Caenorhabditis elegans: one gene and its partners. The protein of the gene in region 3 interacts with the protein of the main gene of each other region in a biochemical or structural test. Each region holds a gene or a part of one and is shown on either strand. Other genes may lie near its edges. The genes, in order: skn-1, pptr-1 and akt-1.

The links.
Region 1: of the proteins of akt-1 (region 3) and skn-1, one has a biochemical effect on the other in vitro, tested with the Caenorhabditis elegans proteins (one study listed by BioGRID).
Region 2: of the proteins of akt-1 (region 3) and pptr-1, one has a biochemical effect on the other in vitro, tested with the Caenorhabditis elegans proteins (one study listed by BioGRID).

Annotation. Positions count from the first base shown.
Region 1 is NC_003282.8:5,657,252-5,662,180, forward strand, and holds the start of skn-1 (Protein skinhead-1), read right to left. Parts: upstream 3,134-4,929; coding exon 3,005-3,133; intron 315-3,004; exon of another isoform or gene 165-314; intron 120-164; exon of another isoform or gene 67-119; intron 1-66. Other genes in the region: bec-1 (Beclin homolog), read right to left, coding at 4,089-4,274, 4,886-4,929. UniProt on the Caenorhabditis elegans protein: Transcription factor. Required to specify the fate of ventral blastomeres in the early embryo, and postembryonically for the development of the intestine. Directly regulates expression of zygotically expressed med-1 and med-2 to direct mesendoderm development.
Region 2 is NC_003283.11:16,355,838-16,360,601, reverse strand, and holds the start of pptr-1 (Serine/threonine-protein phosphatase 2A regulatory subunit pptr-1), read right to left. Parts: upstream 3,082-4,764; 5' UTR 2,951-3,081; coding exon 2,790-2,950; intron 2,740-2,789; coding exon 2,669-2,739; intron 1,765-2,668; coding exon 1,466-1,764; intron 497-1,465; coding exon 273-496; intron 1-272. UniProt on the Caenorhabditis elegans protein: Probable regulatory subunit of serine/threonine-protein phosphatase let-92 which negatively regulates the insulin receptor signaling cascade composed of daf-2, age-1, akt-1, akt-2 and sgk-1 by promoting the dephosphorylation of akt-1 on 'Thr-350'.
Region 3 is NC_003283.11:10,246,872-10,253,379, reverse strand, and holds akt-1 (Serine/threonine-protein kinase akt-1), read right to left. Parts: upstream 4,476-6,508; 5' UTR 4,425-4,475; coding exon 4,321-4,424; intron 3,526-4,320; coding exon 3,417-3,525; intron 3,343-3,416; coding exon 3,154-3,342; intron 3,109-3,153; coding exon 2,947-3,108; intron 2,902-2,946; coding exon 2,704-2,901; intron 2,540-2,703; coding exon of another isoform or gene 2,348-2,539; intron 2,054-2,347; coding exon 1,847-2,053; intron 1,704-1,846; coding exon 1,575-1,703; intron 1,528-1,574; coding exon 1,165-1,527; intron 1,109-1,164; coding exon 929-1,108; 3' UTR 535-928; downstream 1-534. Other genes in the region: rop-1 (RNA-binding protein RO60), read left to right, coding at 1-111, 168-464. UniProt on the Caenorhabditis elegans protein: Acts downstream of PI3 kinase age-1 and kinase pdk-1 in the daf-2/insulin receptor-like transduction pathway.

The DNA of each region.
Region 1 (4,929 bases), on a different chromosome or scaffold from region 3:
ACACGCAGGGTGTACGAGAGAATGCTGGAAAGCGCATGTCCAATGGGAAGACGCAGAGGTAAAAAAATTTTGTGACCGCCGTGTCTATTTGCCTGAACACAGATAGACACAGACTTGTGGAGATCGAAAATCGCAACTTTTTGATCCGAAATCTTGGTGCGCGGTAAATTAACGTGCGCAGAAAATTGACCAATTAAATGAAAAACTAGAAGAGAAGGCTGCTGTGGGGGCCGTAACGAAGTCAACGAAAGCTGATAAGACCAGCATTGTCGCTCGCCGCTTGCACCAAAGACGACGACTACAAAACGACTACACAACGGCAGGTGAATGTTGTAGCGAGAGGGCGAGTGCGACCGAATTGTTGCAGGCAGGTAGTAGACGGTGGGAGGTGAAAAACCGAAGATCTGGAGAATGTGTGTGTGGATGTTGATGCAATTTTTCATAGCACGTTGCCCTTAAATTCTGATGAATCCACACAGAAGTAGTACAGAGCAGGACTGTGCGGAAAAATATTTCGGCAAACGTACAAAAATGAATATAAAAATGTAGGAAAATGCTCGCTCAATCTGAAAATGATATGTATTTTTGTTGGAAAAGTTTGAAAAAGACTTTCAATTGTGCCGTCTTTTAAAAAGTTTTCAAAAAAAATTTTTTTTTCAAACCGAACGAGCATTTTCCTACATTTTAACATTAATTTTTGATTCAAAAAGTTGATATATTTTTCGAAAAAAGTTACAAGTCTAGTACAGAATACTTTGAAAAACGATTGAAACTGAAACTCACGAAACCGAGAGAACAGTTTAAAACAATTATTCAATAAACTTAATGCTTGGTGGTACTGCTGAGAATAAAAAATTTGTTTTGATTTAATTTCTTCTCAACGCCTAATTTCAAAATGCGTGCTGGTTTTCACGTTTCCAAAAATCCAAGTTTTTTTTTGGAAAGGAACCAAAAATTCAAAAATAAAGCATATCAGTTTGAAGTTTGTGCCAAGACTGATAAGAAATATATGAGAGATGCAAAAGATATCACTTGACGAGAAAAAGAAAAGATTTTCGATATTCTAAAAAAGAGAGGTTTGGGTGCACACGGAAATCGGATACATCTACAATTGAGCTACAACTGAATTATTCAAACCACCTGCGTCAGACATGCATGGGAAAATTGAATTATCCACACACCTTCTTCCCTGTTGATATGTGATCAGAATTCTTCGAAATCTTGGCTAAAAATAATTATGATACTAAACCTGCTACAAACCACGTGTTTTTATTTTTATTATTACTACAACAAAAATAAAAACAAGCGCATAATAGTCTGATATTTGGTTGAAAATCTCAATTAATCAGAACATATCCTGTTTATTTCAGGATATTATGATCAAAAATCGCGAAATTTAGAATATAGTAGTTCCGTCGGAACTCAAAGAACTCAATCTTTCTGTTTGAGTGTACTGTGAGTTTGACATCATATTTGGCTGTTTATGAATTCTCGTAGAACGTGATGTTCAGAATTATATTTCTTGACCTCAACCGTGAAAACGAATAGGTTCAGCATGTCAAATACATTGCAATTCAATTAGAATATAGTAGAAGAAAGCTTCTACTCATATTCTGTCAATAAATAATCATACTTTCAATTTTTACAAATCGAAAGCTGTGATCCGAATTTCAACTTATACCAATTCCTTGATCCATTGCGTGCAAAAACCCAACTAACCATGTCAACCGCACCCATTCACAATCAGACCACAGATATGATTCAAGTCATTTTTTCGGTTTTAAACGTCTCATTTCCAGATGATATCATCTTGCACCGAGAGCGTCAATTTAATCAAACGGTTTGATCAAACATTGTACGTGGTGGTGGAAAACCGTTGTTGATAGTCGCTGTCGGCGTAGCAGAAAAAGTTCGAAAAATCAAGAGCCTCGTGGGGTGTCTATCAGGATGGTAATGCTGCTATCAAGCTGGCATATAGGCAATCGGGGGTTTGCGATTTTGGAGCGACTCCGGCAAGATGTTTGTATAATATACATATATGGAGGACAATGTACAGACAGTAATATTTTAGGCTAAGTTTAAGATTGAAGAGATTGGAAAATATCTGAAAATCTGATGATCTGGCGGAAGAAGGATTTCGGAAGGGAACGGTCTTCTTAGCGGCTCTGAAATACAAAGATCACGCTTTCCATTGTTTTCTTGAATTTTTGAAATTCTACTTTTCAGAGGACTTCGACTTCGTCCTCTGGCATTTACGAACATAGTCGTTCCGGCATCATTATTGCAACAGAGAGAGAGAGAGAGAGACAGAATGAGCCGTGAATAGTTTCAGACAACGAGGCAACTGTGACATTCTACATGAGATAGTTGGGATTAACACGTAACAATGCGGGAGACCTAGATAACGAGAGTGATGTGACTGAAGTGATAAGAGGAGAAGGTGGTCTGATATGGAGTTTGGGAAGGAAAAGCTGTTCAAAGTAAATATGTTACGCGGTCTTTGAGAAATGATCTATAACCGGGTGTAAATAAGAAAAAATGTTTGAATTTGAACTTGAAAAATCATATTTTTGAAAACTCGACTCTCAATTGTGGTGTATTTTCCCTATTTTAGTCTACTCGAATTAATAGAAACTTCCAAGAATAATATATAGGTAGATGATGAAAAAGCTTAAAAAAGCTAAAAATAGGCTCCACTCAGATCTTGGTTATTCTTTTAGTTTTTTTTCTTGTTTCTGAAGAAATTAAGTAATCCGTGAAGAGAAAAGCCATGTTTAAGGTTAAAGCTGGAATTTTGAGCCAAAAATCTTGGGAAAAAATCTACAAATCTTAGTTAAAGTTGGATTTAGAACATGAAGAAAACAAAAATTGTAAATGCAAGTAATATTGAATCAGAATTGCAAGAGTTGACTGGAAAAGTGATACGAAAAGTCATGCTCTCCCGTGAAATGATGATATTCTTCAGGTCTTTTTACTTGATAAAACCAACAAAAAAAAAACTAACCGACACTCCATAAATTGACGTCGTCTCTTCTTCGTCGTCGGCTACCGAAGAGAAGCACTGTCTTCGTCTTCGTTTATCGTCTCGTCTCGTCGCCGACGTACTTCGCTGACGGCGTGATGAACCGCCCATCGACTGACTGGATTATGATAGATCCTGTGAGAATGAGTGGAACACTTCTCTCAACAATATTCGGACACGGACTCGCGGCTGAGTGACCAGAGTCCGATCGACGGAGGAGAAACGCGTGAACGACGACACGAGGCCTTCTCTGCAATATTTTGAGTTACAACAATTTTTTTTCTAGAATTCAGAAAACGGGAATTTTCGGAATTACAAGAACTATTCTAGAAAAAACTAGAAACTTCGTTTTTGGGGAATTGTATTGTCTACAAAAACCTACAGTATTTTTTTTCAAATTTAATTAAAGGAGGAATATAGTTTGTGGGAGGTTTTCGCTTAAAAAAAACTAAATCTGGCACAAAAGTGCCGAATTTCATAGTGATATTTATTTAAATAATTTCAAAAACGTTTATGACTGGAAAAATCGAAAAAACATTCAAATTTTCCACACATTTTGGTCGAAAATAAAAAAAAAACGGTGTTTTAGCTTTAAAAAAATCCAGAATTTAGCAAAATTTGGACCTTATTTTTCGATATTTTCAGTTATACATTTTTCGAAAATTTTGAGGCAATATTAGTAAAATCAGATTAAAATAAGTTTAGTGGTAGGAACTTGATTTCACAGTTTCAGAAAATTTTAATAATCATTAAACCAAGTAAAGCAACAAGAAAGAGAAAATAAATTAGGAAAAATTCAAATTTTAGATAACAGAATTGGTTTCAAAACCAATCAACAAAAAATAACAAAATTTCCTCCACAAGACTGCAATAAAAATCTTTACTTTTAATATATTTACATATGGTACAAGTTTGGGGAAAAGGCAGAATTCCAGCAGAAAATTTGAAAAAAAAAACTAGAAATCACAATGAAAATTGAATATTTTTTAAAGAAGCGTCCCTGAGAAATTGAAAAAAAAATTTCTAGCGTTGAAAATGTTATTCTACATTTGATCCCGTGAAATCACTAAATAGGCGATCTGAGAGCATCGCATTGAGCACACGCAGCTTTGAGATCTGTGAGCATTAGAGCCATTGCACGAGTCCATCGAACATCTGTGTTGAGTGTCATAACTGCATTGTATTTGACACCATTGTCAACCAGTGAATCAGCATGAATTTGATATGGTGGTTTGAAATTTTTGTTTCGATCCTGAAAAATGTATAAAAATTAGGGTGTTTCTGAAACCAAAAAATTATAAAATCGATCTTTATACCGGAAAATGAATATTGTAAATCCATTCTTAACGAGATGTGAAATTTTACAGTTTTGCTCCAAAAATACTTTAAAAAACCCGATTTACTCAAACTCATAAGGGATCGTGCGCCTTTAAGGCCTACGGTATTTCCCAACTCCTCAAGTGTTCACCCAATTATTTAAATAAAATTTATTAAAAAACATGTAAAAACACGCCAAATTTCGTAGAAACGGGCGGAAAACTAGGAAAAATCACTCTTTTTCACTAGTTTCTTTCAGATTTGGGTTGGTTTTATACCTTTTTAACGTAAATCGGTTGAAAAATGGGAGTTGGGAACTACAGTAGGCCTTAAAGGTGCACGATTTTTTTGAAGTTCAGAAAATCTGTCTATTTTTGTATTTTTGAAGCAGAAATCGCATAAACTTTTGCAAATGGGTAATACGAAAATAAATTCACAATACTTATTTTTGATGGATATGTCTTTTTTATTCTGTACAGAGATCGATTTCAAGAAAACTCCCAATTTTTTAACCAACTCCGAACGGCAACATATTTTCCCACAAACCTTGAGCTCTTTCAACAAAAACTCGAGCAACTGCAAGAATCGAC
Region 2 (4,764 bases), 6.1 Mb from region 3:
TCCTTGTGGAAGAGAGGAATTCCTTTTTTTTTTCAAATTTAACACAAAAAACGCTATTTTACATAACTTTTCACAAGTTTTCGGTATTTTTCAAAGAAAAATCACAAATTTTCACCCAAAACACCACAAATATGACAATTTTAATATCAAAAATTGCAAAAATGGTCCAAATCCATGAATTTTTGCCGAAAATTGAGCTTTTCGTTGCAATTTTCTCATTTTTAAGCCATTTTTTAGCGATTTTTCAGCGAAAAAAAAAATCCAGTATTCACCTCAAAAACATATTATTGATATGTTTGCGAATAAAAGCCCGAAGGCCCAAAAATTTTCCGTAAATACGATGAAGAACCGTCTTCAAAAAGTCTCGTTCACGTGGATCCTCCGAATCGAATAAATCGAGCAGCTTGAGCACAAATCTCTGATCAATATACTTTTTACCGATTGAAGCTTGGAAATCTGGCGACTCAAGGAATCTCAGGAAGAGCTCGTAGACAAGCTGCAAAATTCGTTTTTTTTTTTTTGATTTTAGGGCAGTTTTTCCAATTTTCAGTGAATTTTTGCAGATTTCTGATGATTTTAAGCATCTTTTAGCTCCCAATTTGGCCAGAAAATGGCCTAAAAACTCAAATTTTGTCGACTTTTCTGAGTTTCAGGTGAAATTTGGCCATAGAAGACGGAATTTCATAACAAAATTCATTAAAAACCGCTCAAAATCTCGAAAAATTACATATTTTCAGCTGAAATTTCAAATTTTGCCAACTTTCCAGGTTTCACAGCGGTCGGAAATTGAGAAATTGGCGATTTAGGCTGACATTCGACGAATTTTCAGCATTTTTTGATGGCCCGGAGCCATTTTGGGTATAATAGAGCAAAAATTGATTTTTTTAAATAGGGGTCTTTTGTAATAAAAATAATCAAAAATTGCTGAAAATTCCGAAAAATGGTCGAATTTCAGCCTAAATCGCCAATTTTTTAATTTCCGACCGTTGTGACACCGGGAAAGTTGGCAAAATTTGAGATTTCAGCTGAAAATGTCATTTTATGAGCTGTTGAGCGATTTTTAATGAATTTTGTTATAAAATTCCGTCTTTCGATGCCTTTCTCGGTCCAAAAAGTGGCCAAATGCCATCTGTAACACGGAAAAGTTGAGAAAATCAGAGTTTTTAGGTCATTTTGTCAATATTTTTTGATGCACTGGGGCTATTTTTGGTATATTGGAGCAAAAAAACGCGGTTTTCTGCTATAATTTTCAGATTTTCGATGTTTTCAGGATGTATCGGGGTTTTTTTTTGCCAAAAGGAAAACTAATAATTTTCCAGTCGAAAAAGTCAATTTTTTGGACCAAAAATTAGTGAAAAATGCACTTTTTGCTCTATTTTTCTGAAAATTGCATTTTTTTTTCGATTTTTTTTTGTCATTTTTCGGCTTCCTGGAGCCATTTTCGGGTTTTTCTTGCATTTCCAACCTGTAAATGTGGCCACGAGACTTCTAAAGTCGGTTCATCCTCTTCTGGATCAAATTCACAATTTTCTGATGGTGGAAGTACACGGAATATATTCTTGGCAACCATTTTAATGACAGCCGGATAAATTGTCTCAACAATTGCTCCTTTTGTCGATGTAATGTGATCGATGAGCTCATTTAGAGCTGCTCTTTTGATTTCTTTGCATTTCAGTTGAGCTACTGGATCATAGAAATCGAATACGTGCTGACATTGGACGAGCTTTTCGATAACGAGAGCCGGTTGCTCATTTGCAGCAGTATCTGGAAAAATTGAAGTTTTTAAAGATTTTTAGCGGTAAAATTGATTTAAAAGGCTCAAAATAAATTCAAATTTCGATAAAAATGGCGAAAATCTCAAATTTTGCAGCAGCAATTGAATTTCTTTTAAAAAATTGATGATTTAGGCCTTTTTTCGGGGTTTTAGCAGGGATTTTCGGCAAATTTTCACTGAAAAACCCGACAATTTCGGCTCAAAAAAAAACCGACAATTTCGGCTCAAATATTCTGAAAAAAGGCTAAATTTGAAATCGGCAATTTTTGCAGATTTTAGAGATTTCAGACGGCGTTTTTCAGAATTTTAGTTCAAAATTTGGCTCAAAAAGACCAAATTTTCTTAGTTTTGGGTTCAAAATTATCCGATTTGTCAAAAAATCTTTTAAAAAAAAGACTAAAAACTCCATTTTTACGAATTTGCAGCGACCGAAAATCGATTTTCATCGAAATATTCCTTTATTTTGAAGATTTTCGCGATTTCTAACGCGTTTTCCCGTCGATGTAGGTAAATTTTCACGAAATAATGTAAAAATACAACATAAAAAAGTTGATTTACTTGAAAATAGTGTAAGTTTTCGTTAAAAACTTTAAAAAGAATCACAAATTTTGTATAAAAGTCGAAATTCACACTTTTGGGACAATTTCCGACAATTGTAGGCTATTTTCCAACTTTTCAACGAAAATTATCCTAATTTTCAGGCCAATCGAGCATTTTTCAACATTTTTTCACTAAAATTAGCATTTTTGGACATTTTCCCTGAATATTTGCCTGGAATCGACTGAAAACTGCCAAAATCTGCGGCAGGGTGGCAAAATGCGAGTTTTTCGCTATTTTTTACTCAATTCTTCGAAATTTTTTCGGTTTTTCATCTAGAAAATCCAAAAAAATCACCTTTGATGAGCGCCAATTGTACGAGTTCTTGAGCCGAATCAACATTATATCGGCTGCTGTTGTTGATGCGCCTGAAAATATCGGGAAAAATCGATAAAAATAAATTAAACCAGCCACTCACAATCGTCTAGAAGTTCCTCTTTTATTATGGAACGGATCGATTTTATCAACAAATTGATTAGCTGTCGCCGAGAGTTGTTGGCCACCGGTGGCGGCTCCCTGTGTCCGTGGCGGCGGAATTTGATGCGGAGCGCCCGTTAGACTGTGCCCGCTTCCGTGCATTTTTTTTTTTGATTAAAAGAATTTATCTTCTTCAACGTCTTCTCGCCCTGGTTGTGTTCGAGCGAAGTGTTGAAACTTCGTGTAGGAGGGAGCAGAGAAGCAGACGGCGAGAGAGAGATTTCTGGGCGCTTCTGCAAAATGTATATATATATATATTGATTTTTTATTGCGAGAGAGTGAGAGAGAGAGGGTTTTTATTAACGCGGAATGGTGTAAAAGAGATAGGCAGTGGTTATCGAAATTATGATAAGAAGAGAGTGAAAGTAAATGGCAATGTAGGTCGACAAGTGATCAGATTCGGGAATAAAATGTATTGAAATGGGTTTTATTTAATTTTATTCAATTTTTAACCGAAAAAAACGCAGGAAAAACGCTCAAATTGTAGACAAAACATCGATTTAACGTAAAAAACAAATTAAAAAACGAGAAAATCTCCGATTTACATTGGAGCGCACTTACTGATCGGTGGTTTGCCGCGTTTTTTCTAGTTTTTAAAGCTTCCTTGTGGTAAAAATTTGCAAAAATGCCTTCATTAAATGAACAAAGCAATGGGCAATGGGGCCAATACACAGAAAAAGTGAAATTTTGAGAACTATCACAAAATTGATTAAAAAAACCATTTAACAAGAAAAACTAGATTCAAATTCCCGCTCCGCAAATTTATCAATGGAGCACGCTTGCGAATTTGTTTTTTATTTGTTTTTTTAGATGGAAAAACTGAATTTCGTCGAAATTTAGTTGAAGTTTCAGAGTTTTCAGCGTAAAAACTGCTTTAAAAATTAAAAAAAAATAAAACAACCGAAAATTCTGTATTTCTTGCTGGTTTGCTCACTTTTAGCGATAACCGCGGGGAAAATTGATAAATTTTGAGAGAGGAGTGACAGTTTTTGCTGGTGTAAAAATGTGCCAAAATAAACGAATTTCGTTTAATTTTACCTATGGCGGTTGAAAATATCGATAAAACTGGGCATTTTTATCTAAAATCCAGCTGGAAAACTAGCTTTGCCAATTTTTCGTGTCGGAAAAAATTTTAATTTCCTACCGCTACGACATATAAATTTTTGGAAAAATCGAAAATTTTGTCTAATTTTTAAAAATTATCAAGTTTTTTCGAAATTTTGAACTTCGAGGTCTGAATTAAAAAAAAGAAGCCTCCATAAAAAATTTCGGGAAATTTAAGAGTAGTCTCATTACAAAATTCGTTTATTTGAGCGCATTTTGAGTCTAAAAAAGCAAAATCCTTTAATTTTTCATGCGCATGACCTACGCAGTTCGCGCATAAATTATATTTTATTCCCTACAAAAAACACGAACAATGTTCCAAATCGCTTAATAAATTCAGTGAAAAAGTTGAAAAAAAGAGACAAAAAACTCTCGCTCTCACACGAGGTATAAACGTCAACGTTTTGTTGTCTTCTCTCACTCTGCCCAGCCACAGAGAGAGTTAGTTGATCGAGAGAAAAAAGACAATCTCTCACCCGATGAGCGCCGTTTGTGAGCGGCGCGAGCAGAGTTCGTGTGCATTCCGGAGTGCACAGTGATGCAGACACTGAGAAGACGTCGAGAGACGCAGACACGTCGTGCGCACTCGCGCACGCATTTGCACACGGAAAGGCCGGAGAGTGTGGGAGACCGAGAGAGAGAGAGAGAGAAGTAAAGGAATAATATACGCACACAGGCCATCACAGGCCACTGGAGACGACGGAGACGTGAAGAAAATGAAGAGGAGGGGCAGTTTATGGGGGTGGAAGTAAATACGGGGAGAAAAAGTGAGAATTTGCACAACTTTCAGATGAATAGAAAAAGCTTAATTA
Region 3 (6,508 bases):
CACAATGAAGCCGAAGTTAGATGTGTCGCCTTCTGTGATAAGCTCACTGAGCTTCCGTTTACTAAGGATTGGAAGATCGGACAAGTTAATGACTACGTTAACAACCTTGATGTAAGTTTCATAATGATTTTAATATTGAATTTAATATTAAATTATTGAATTTTCAGTTCGGCAGAACAGATTGTGGCCTTCCAATGACTTGGGCAACAGAAAATAATCTCAAGTTTGATGTCTTCATTATCTACACCGACAACGATACCTGGGCTGGAGAGATTCATCCATTCGAAGCCATCAAAAAGTATCGTGAAGCTTCTGGTATTCATGACGCGAAGGTCATTGTGATGGCAATGCAGGCATATGACTACTCGATTGCCGATCCATCTGATGCTGGTATGCTCGACATTACCGGATTCGATTCGGCTGTACCACAGATTGTTCACGAGTTTGTTACTGGAAAGATCTAATTTATAGTACTGATCTGTTATTTATTTCGCATGTTTCTTTGTTCATATTTTGTCATTCCATAATAAAAATACGAGGATAAAATTCTTTCATTTGGATTGTTGGATATGATATAGGAACATAGTACATCCACGAATGATGGCGCTATTTGGTTTTCACAACCGTAGCTTGTGAGTAATATTACAAAACGATGATGGAATTTTGAAATGGAAAGAACTACGGTCTCAGGTGAATAAAAAGGATAGTATACAAAGGGAAGGAGGCAGAACAGGAAGAGATGAAAACAAAGAGATTTCTCATTTTAATTCGATATTTACTGAGAATAGATCAAAATATAGTCACTGTAACGACTAAATATTTGTTTAAAAAAGGATATCTGAATGTCAGACAAAGGGGTCAGTTTTCTACAGTCTGCAAAACAGGCTAAAATCGCAATTAATTAAATTCAAGCCATTGTGGTGTCAAATTATCCCATATCATAATCTTCGTTGTCTTCACTTGCTTCATGAATTCGATTGATACTTCCCATAACATTGTGGAATGAGAATTGTGTGAAGTTTGATTGCATTTCTTCTTGCTCATCGACTGTAGCAAGGGCTCCGCTTCTACTAGGCGGTGTCAGTTGAACTGGTTGAGATGTGAATTCCTAAAATAAAATCTTTGTTTCTAGTGAAAAAATTTAAAATGTATTAGTCAACTCACATTATCAAAGTAACTAGTATCAGTTTCTGACTGCACATTTGGCTTATATGGTGGCTCGATTTCTTTTCTGTACGTTGCTTCCCAATCGACAGTACGGAAAAAGTCTGCTCTACAAATCTCCAATGCATCTTCGGGTCCACCACCCAATCGCTGAGTTGGATCTTTGACAAGAAGTCCGGTGAGCAAAGTTCTAGCTTCTTGACTCAACTTGCTTGGGAACCTTAGATCACCAGCCATGATAAGTTCGAATAGTTTATTATGATCCTTCGAATAAAATGGAAGCCTTCCACACATCATCTCGTACATCACAACTCCAACTCCCCACCAATCAACACAACGTCCGTAGTCATGATCATCAAGAACCTGCAATTAAAACATTTAAATGTGAGAAGTGAGTGAGATTTTTTTACCTCTGGTGCAAGATACTCCGGAGTTCCACAGAAAGTACTTGTTTTGTCACCAAAACTGATTTCTTCTTTACATAATCCAAAATCCGCAATTTTAATATGTCCATCTTTGTCAAGAAGCAAATTTTCAAGCTTAAAAAATATAATTTAACTTGTATACAGACTTGGGGAAAATCCGAATGGCGAGCCGATAGTTTTCTTAGTTTTTACATGTTCTACAACTATCCGCTATGTGACTACTGTATTCTACTTCTATAAATAAACATTTTTCTAACCTTCAAATCTCGATAAACAATGCTATTTGCATGAAGATATCCGAGAGCAAGGACGATCTCAGAGCCATAGAAACGGGCTCGAGGTTCTGAGAAACCCTCTTTGTTCATCTGCACTTCTCGATTTAGATGATAATAGAGATCACCGCCAATGGCAAACTCCATTACGAAACACAGACGATCGTTTGTTTGAAACGAGTATTTCAGTTCCTGCAGTAATACAGAAATAAAGCGTGGAAAGAGAATAAAAACTATAGGGTTGCGAACTAAGAAGATAAATTAGTGAATCGGAAAAGAAGCGTTACCATAAGAAGAAAAAAAAGAAGCATGACATAAACTGAGACATTACTACTTACAATGTAAAATAAATAAGTTGATAGCATAACGTTCTAAGTGTTTGAATCTTGCTATCCTACGTAAAATTCAACTGCGGATAGTTGTAAAACATTTTTGAAACAAAATAATCTATGTTCGGCTCGTCATTCAGATTCTTCATCGTCGAACCTTCATATCACGGTAGACAATATCGCATCGGTGAAGGTATCCGAGAGCAAGAACGATCTCGGCTCCGTAGAATCGGGCTCTTGGTTCACTAAATGTTCCACATTTACGTACATGCGTAAAAAGTTCTCCACCATTCGCAAACTGCATCACAAAACAAAGATAGTGTTGCTCTTGGAAACTATATTTCAGTTCCTGAAAATACGACCACAAACACTATGGGAAAACAATAAAAATTACGACAATAATTGTACTCTCAGGGGTAGAAGATTATAGGAGAAGGACGTGCTGGGGTTAAAATTTAAACAAAAGTGAGTGAACTGAATCAATAAATAAAAATAGTTTTATAAAAAACATACCGTAAGGAACGGATGCTTGCATCTTTGAAGAACTCGATTTTCTGTCAAAGTGTGAGCAACTTCTTCGCGAGCAATGATTACATCTTTTTTGAGAATTTTGATGGCATAAAGCTTTTGAGTACGCTTTTCCTTGCACAAGATAACTTTTCCGAATGTTCCTTTACCGAGCACTTTGAGAAAATCGAAATCTTCCATTGTCTGTAATTTTTTTTGCAAAGGTTTTTATCAGATAGGTTTTCTTACGATTTTGTCTCTTTTAGCAGCTTCGCTGGTGTCAGCAATACTAATCATAGACGCTCTGAAGTCAATTGAACAATTATCACCGTGTCCCGAAGATGGTTGACCCATAATTGCATGCGCTGCACCAGCAAATTCACTGTCTTCATCAATTTTTGGCTGCTGATTCTAAAAGAATTTTTCAAAAAAGCTGGATCAAGGTGTAATTTTTACGGTTTCCATTAATTCCTCTTGTGGATTTGCATTTGTGCCTTTGTATTTTTTTGAAATGCTCTCAATAGCATGAATCCAACGCTGACGAACTTCTGCCGACTCCGCATAGAATGTTCGCTCAATGACAGTTGTCCACTGAAGGCATCTTACCATGAACATGTTAGGTCGTGGTTTTTCGAATAACATTGTCTGAAAATAAAATATTGCAAAAGTAGATGATTTTGCAGAATGATGTTTAGAAAAATAAGCTCATCTCTACTTACCGCTGCATCCTTGATCATAAAATCATTCAATGGCTCAGGAAACGGTTGTCCTTCCTTAGGCTTTGCTCGAAATCCAAGTAAGGCTCCATCATTGAATATCATGAAGTATCTGAAATTATTCTACGTCATTAACTTTCAATCTTTTATCATCTTTGTTTTTTTTGTTATGTCACTCTGACGAGTTTCTTTTTAAAATGTTTTCAGTCACTCTCAACTTCCGCACTCACTCATTCTCTCTTTTTTCAATTTGATTATTTTTCGCATCGCTCACTCGCCGTTCACATGTGTTTATTATTTTGGAACATTAAATGAGAAGGGTGACATACTTATGGATAGAAGACATGCACACTCAAAAACAAAAAAACCATCCAAAAATACTGCACAAAATCGTGTTTTTCATTTTTTGAGTTTTCTGTAATCACAACAGTTTCACTTCCGTGTTGCTATTATTCAATTTTTCAATGTACTGTCTGTTAGGAAAATGATATACGTTTTTAGCAATCGTGAATATTTCATAGATATCTTTAATTTTCGGTTAATTTCAGTCGTTTGAAAATAATTATATTCTGAAGCGAATAGTTGTACTATGTAGCGTAGCAAACATAGAATCATCTGCTCTACCAGGAAGTCACATCATTCCCCCTTCATAAAAACGTTTATGAAGATTTTTCAGCCGGAAAAGCATGATAAGAGCGAGTGCGCGGCAAAAACAAATCAGTTGACGTATATGATGAAGCGGATATATGAATTTATGTAGAAAACAAAAATAAAAAGATTAACGAGAACAAGACTCATCGGAGTTTTCAAGATAAATTTTGATGTGAAATCATTAACTAACTTTTTCGAGCATAAAAATTATCGAATCAGTGGTAATATATGATCAGTACCGATAGAAAAATCAAACCTTGGTCTCCAGTTTCGAATGTGCTCTCCTTTCTTGTGAAGCCATCCCTCAATGACAACATCTTCTTGTCTTCGAGACTTCGTTGACAAGCTTGTCATCGACATTCTTTCACCGGCGCCGTCGTAAACCTTTCGGGAGAAGTAACGTCTTCGACTGAAAATTAGAATATTTTTTGATCGAGATTCATTATGTTTTTAAGAAAATCAGTTTTAACACTTTTAATTCGAAAATGAAGGAAAACATAAAAAAAAAGAAAAGCGAAAAAACACACGAGAGAGTTTTGTGACAAACAAAGCAGAGGGACGGAAATTGACAGAATTTGAAGAGAGAGACATAGGAGTTTAGAGAAAAAAGAGGTGGTGACCCTATTTCAGCGGAAACAAGAACACGAAAACATTTTCAGACACTGCCCAGCAACAACATCATGAGTAACGCTGCTGCTTCAGAATATCGTTTTCTGAGTGTTCGTCTGTGGTTTTTTGTTTTCCAACAAGGAAGAGATAGGAGAAGCAGAAATAACGGGAACGGACAACCAGTGGAAAATAAGAAAGAAAATATCGGTTTTCTGGAATTGCCCGCTTGGAAAACAAGATTATTTCTACGATAACACCATGCCACTGATCATAAATTTCAAGTTTTTGATCTCTGGCATTTTATACACATCGATACTGTATAACATGCAAACAGAAAGTTTACCTGTGATGTACGAGCACTTTTGTTATCGAAAAATCAACAAAACAACGTGAAATAGAATAACAAATTAACGGCAAACAATTTTTGAATAGGGATACTATGAGAGCCGAAGTATACAAGCGAAAAAAGACCATATTGGTTGAAGTTGATAAATTTTCAATAGTCTGAGAACCATTTTACGGCTGTATAAATATACAAAAACGACTTATTTTTAATTATTGGTTTTTAACTCAACCTTATTAGGCATTCAATTTACGGAAATCATGTTAATTATTATTTCTCTAGAATTTCTCTTGAATTATAAGCCACTTTAGAAACCCTATAAACGAAAAAAAATTAATCGTGAGAAAACATTAAGAGACGGAGAATGAGAAAGGAAGAGATGAACCACGCGGATTATCATCACGTAAAAACAAGAGGAGAGGTTTTGATACACTTTTCGCAGTTAGTGATTAGGCCACTGCCTCTTGTCTGAGCTTTCGAAGAGAAACAGATTATTATGCACCACGACTGGCATACGAACATACAAAAAAGCGGGGTGATTACGCCATGGGAGAAGGAGCGGAACTGGAGCACATACGTGGAAAGACGCAGACGGAACGTGCCTAAATTTAATCGATCGGAACGATATATTAGAGACATAATAATAACGAATTAACTGTTAAATTGGGAATATATTTGAAAAATAGACACTTTTTCAGATTTTTTTTCAGTAACAAAATTAGAAAATCTTCGAATGTGGTTTCAATGCCATGATTTTTTGATTAAGTGAACGCGAGAAAAACCGGAAAATAAGAAGGAAAAGCAACAAACAGAGGCGCCGATAGGGTTAGACCGGGTCTTGAACTGACGGTCTTGAGACGAATACAAACAACTTGATGAAGGAAAAAGAGAAAGTATGTGGGTTGTTGATGAAATCTCCAAAAAAAAAAAAAAATAGAAAACAAAGTTTTTCTATCTAATTAATTTTTGAAAGCATTGAAAAGCTTTTTTAAACGTTTTTTTTTAAACAGGAACGTTCGAAAACGAAAAAAAAAACGGTTGTGTTGCCAGACTCCGGTTGAGTTAGATATCGGGCACGAATATCGGTGTTGCCAGTAGTATACAGCAGTACGGAAAAGTGCACGTTTCGATCAAAGGCCGCGCGTGCTTTGCTTCGCGGAATGGATGATCGGTGACGCCGGACGGAGAGAGGGAACAGGCGCGGCGTCGAGCCGCAGACAGAGCGAGATAGTACATGCTAGAGTTGTTTACATCCCAAAACGAAAACGAAGAGGCTTCGCGACAATTGCAAAAAATGAATTGTCCCTGCTTTTTATGAGGTGAATATTATTGGAAAAAATTTAAGGGGAGAACACTAATTTACATCTGAATGAAACAACAAAGAAATATGAATTTTAAGAGTATTTTAGGAGTGGGAGTGATGAAAGCTTATTATATTCTGAAAATAAAAATAAACTCCCACGCGCGCGAGTTCCAAAATCGAAAAATACAA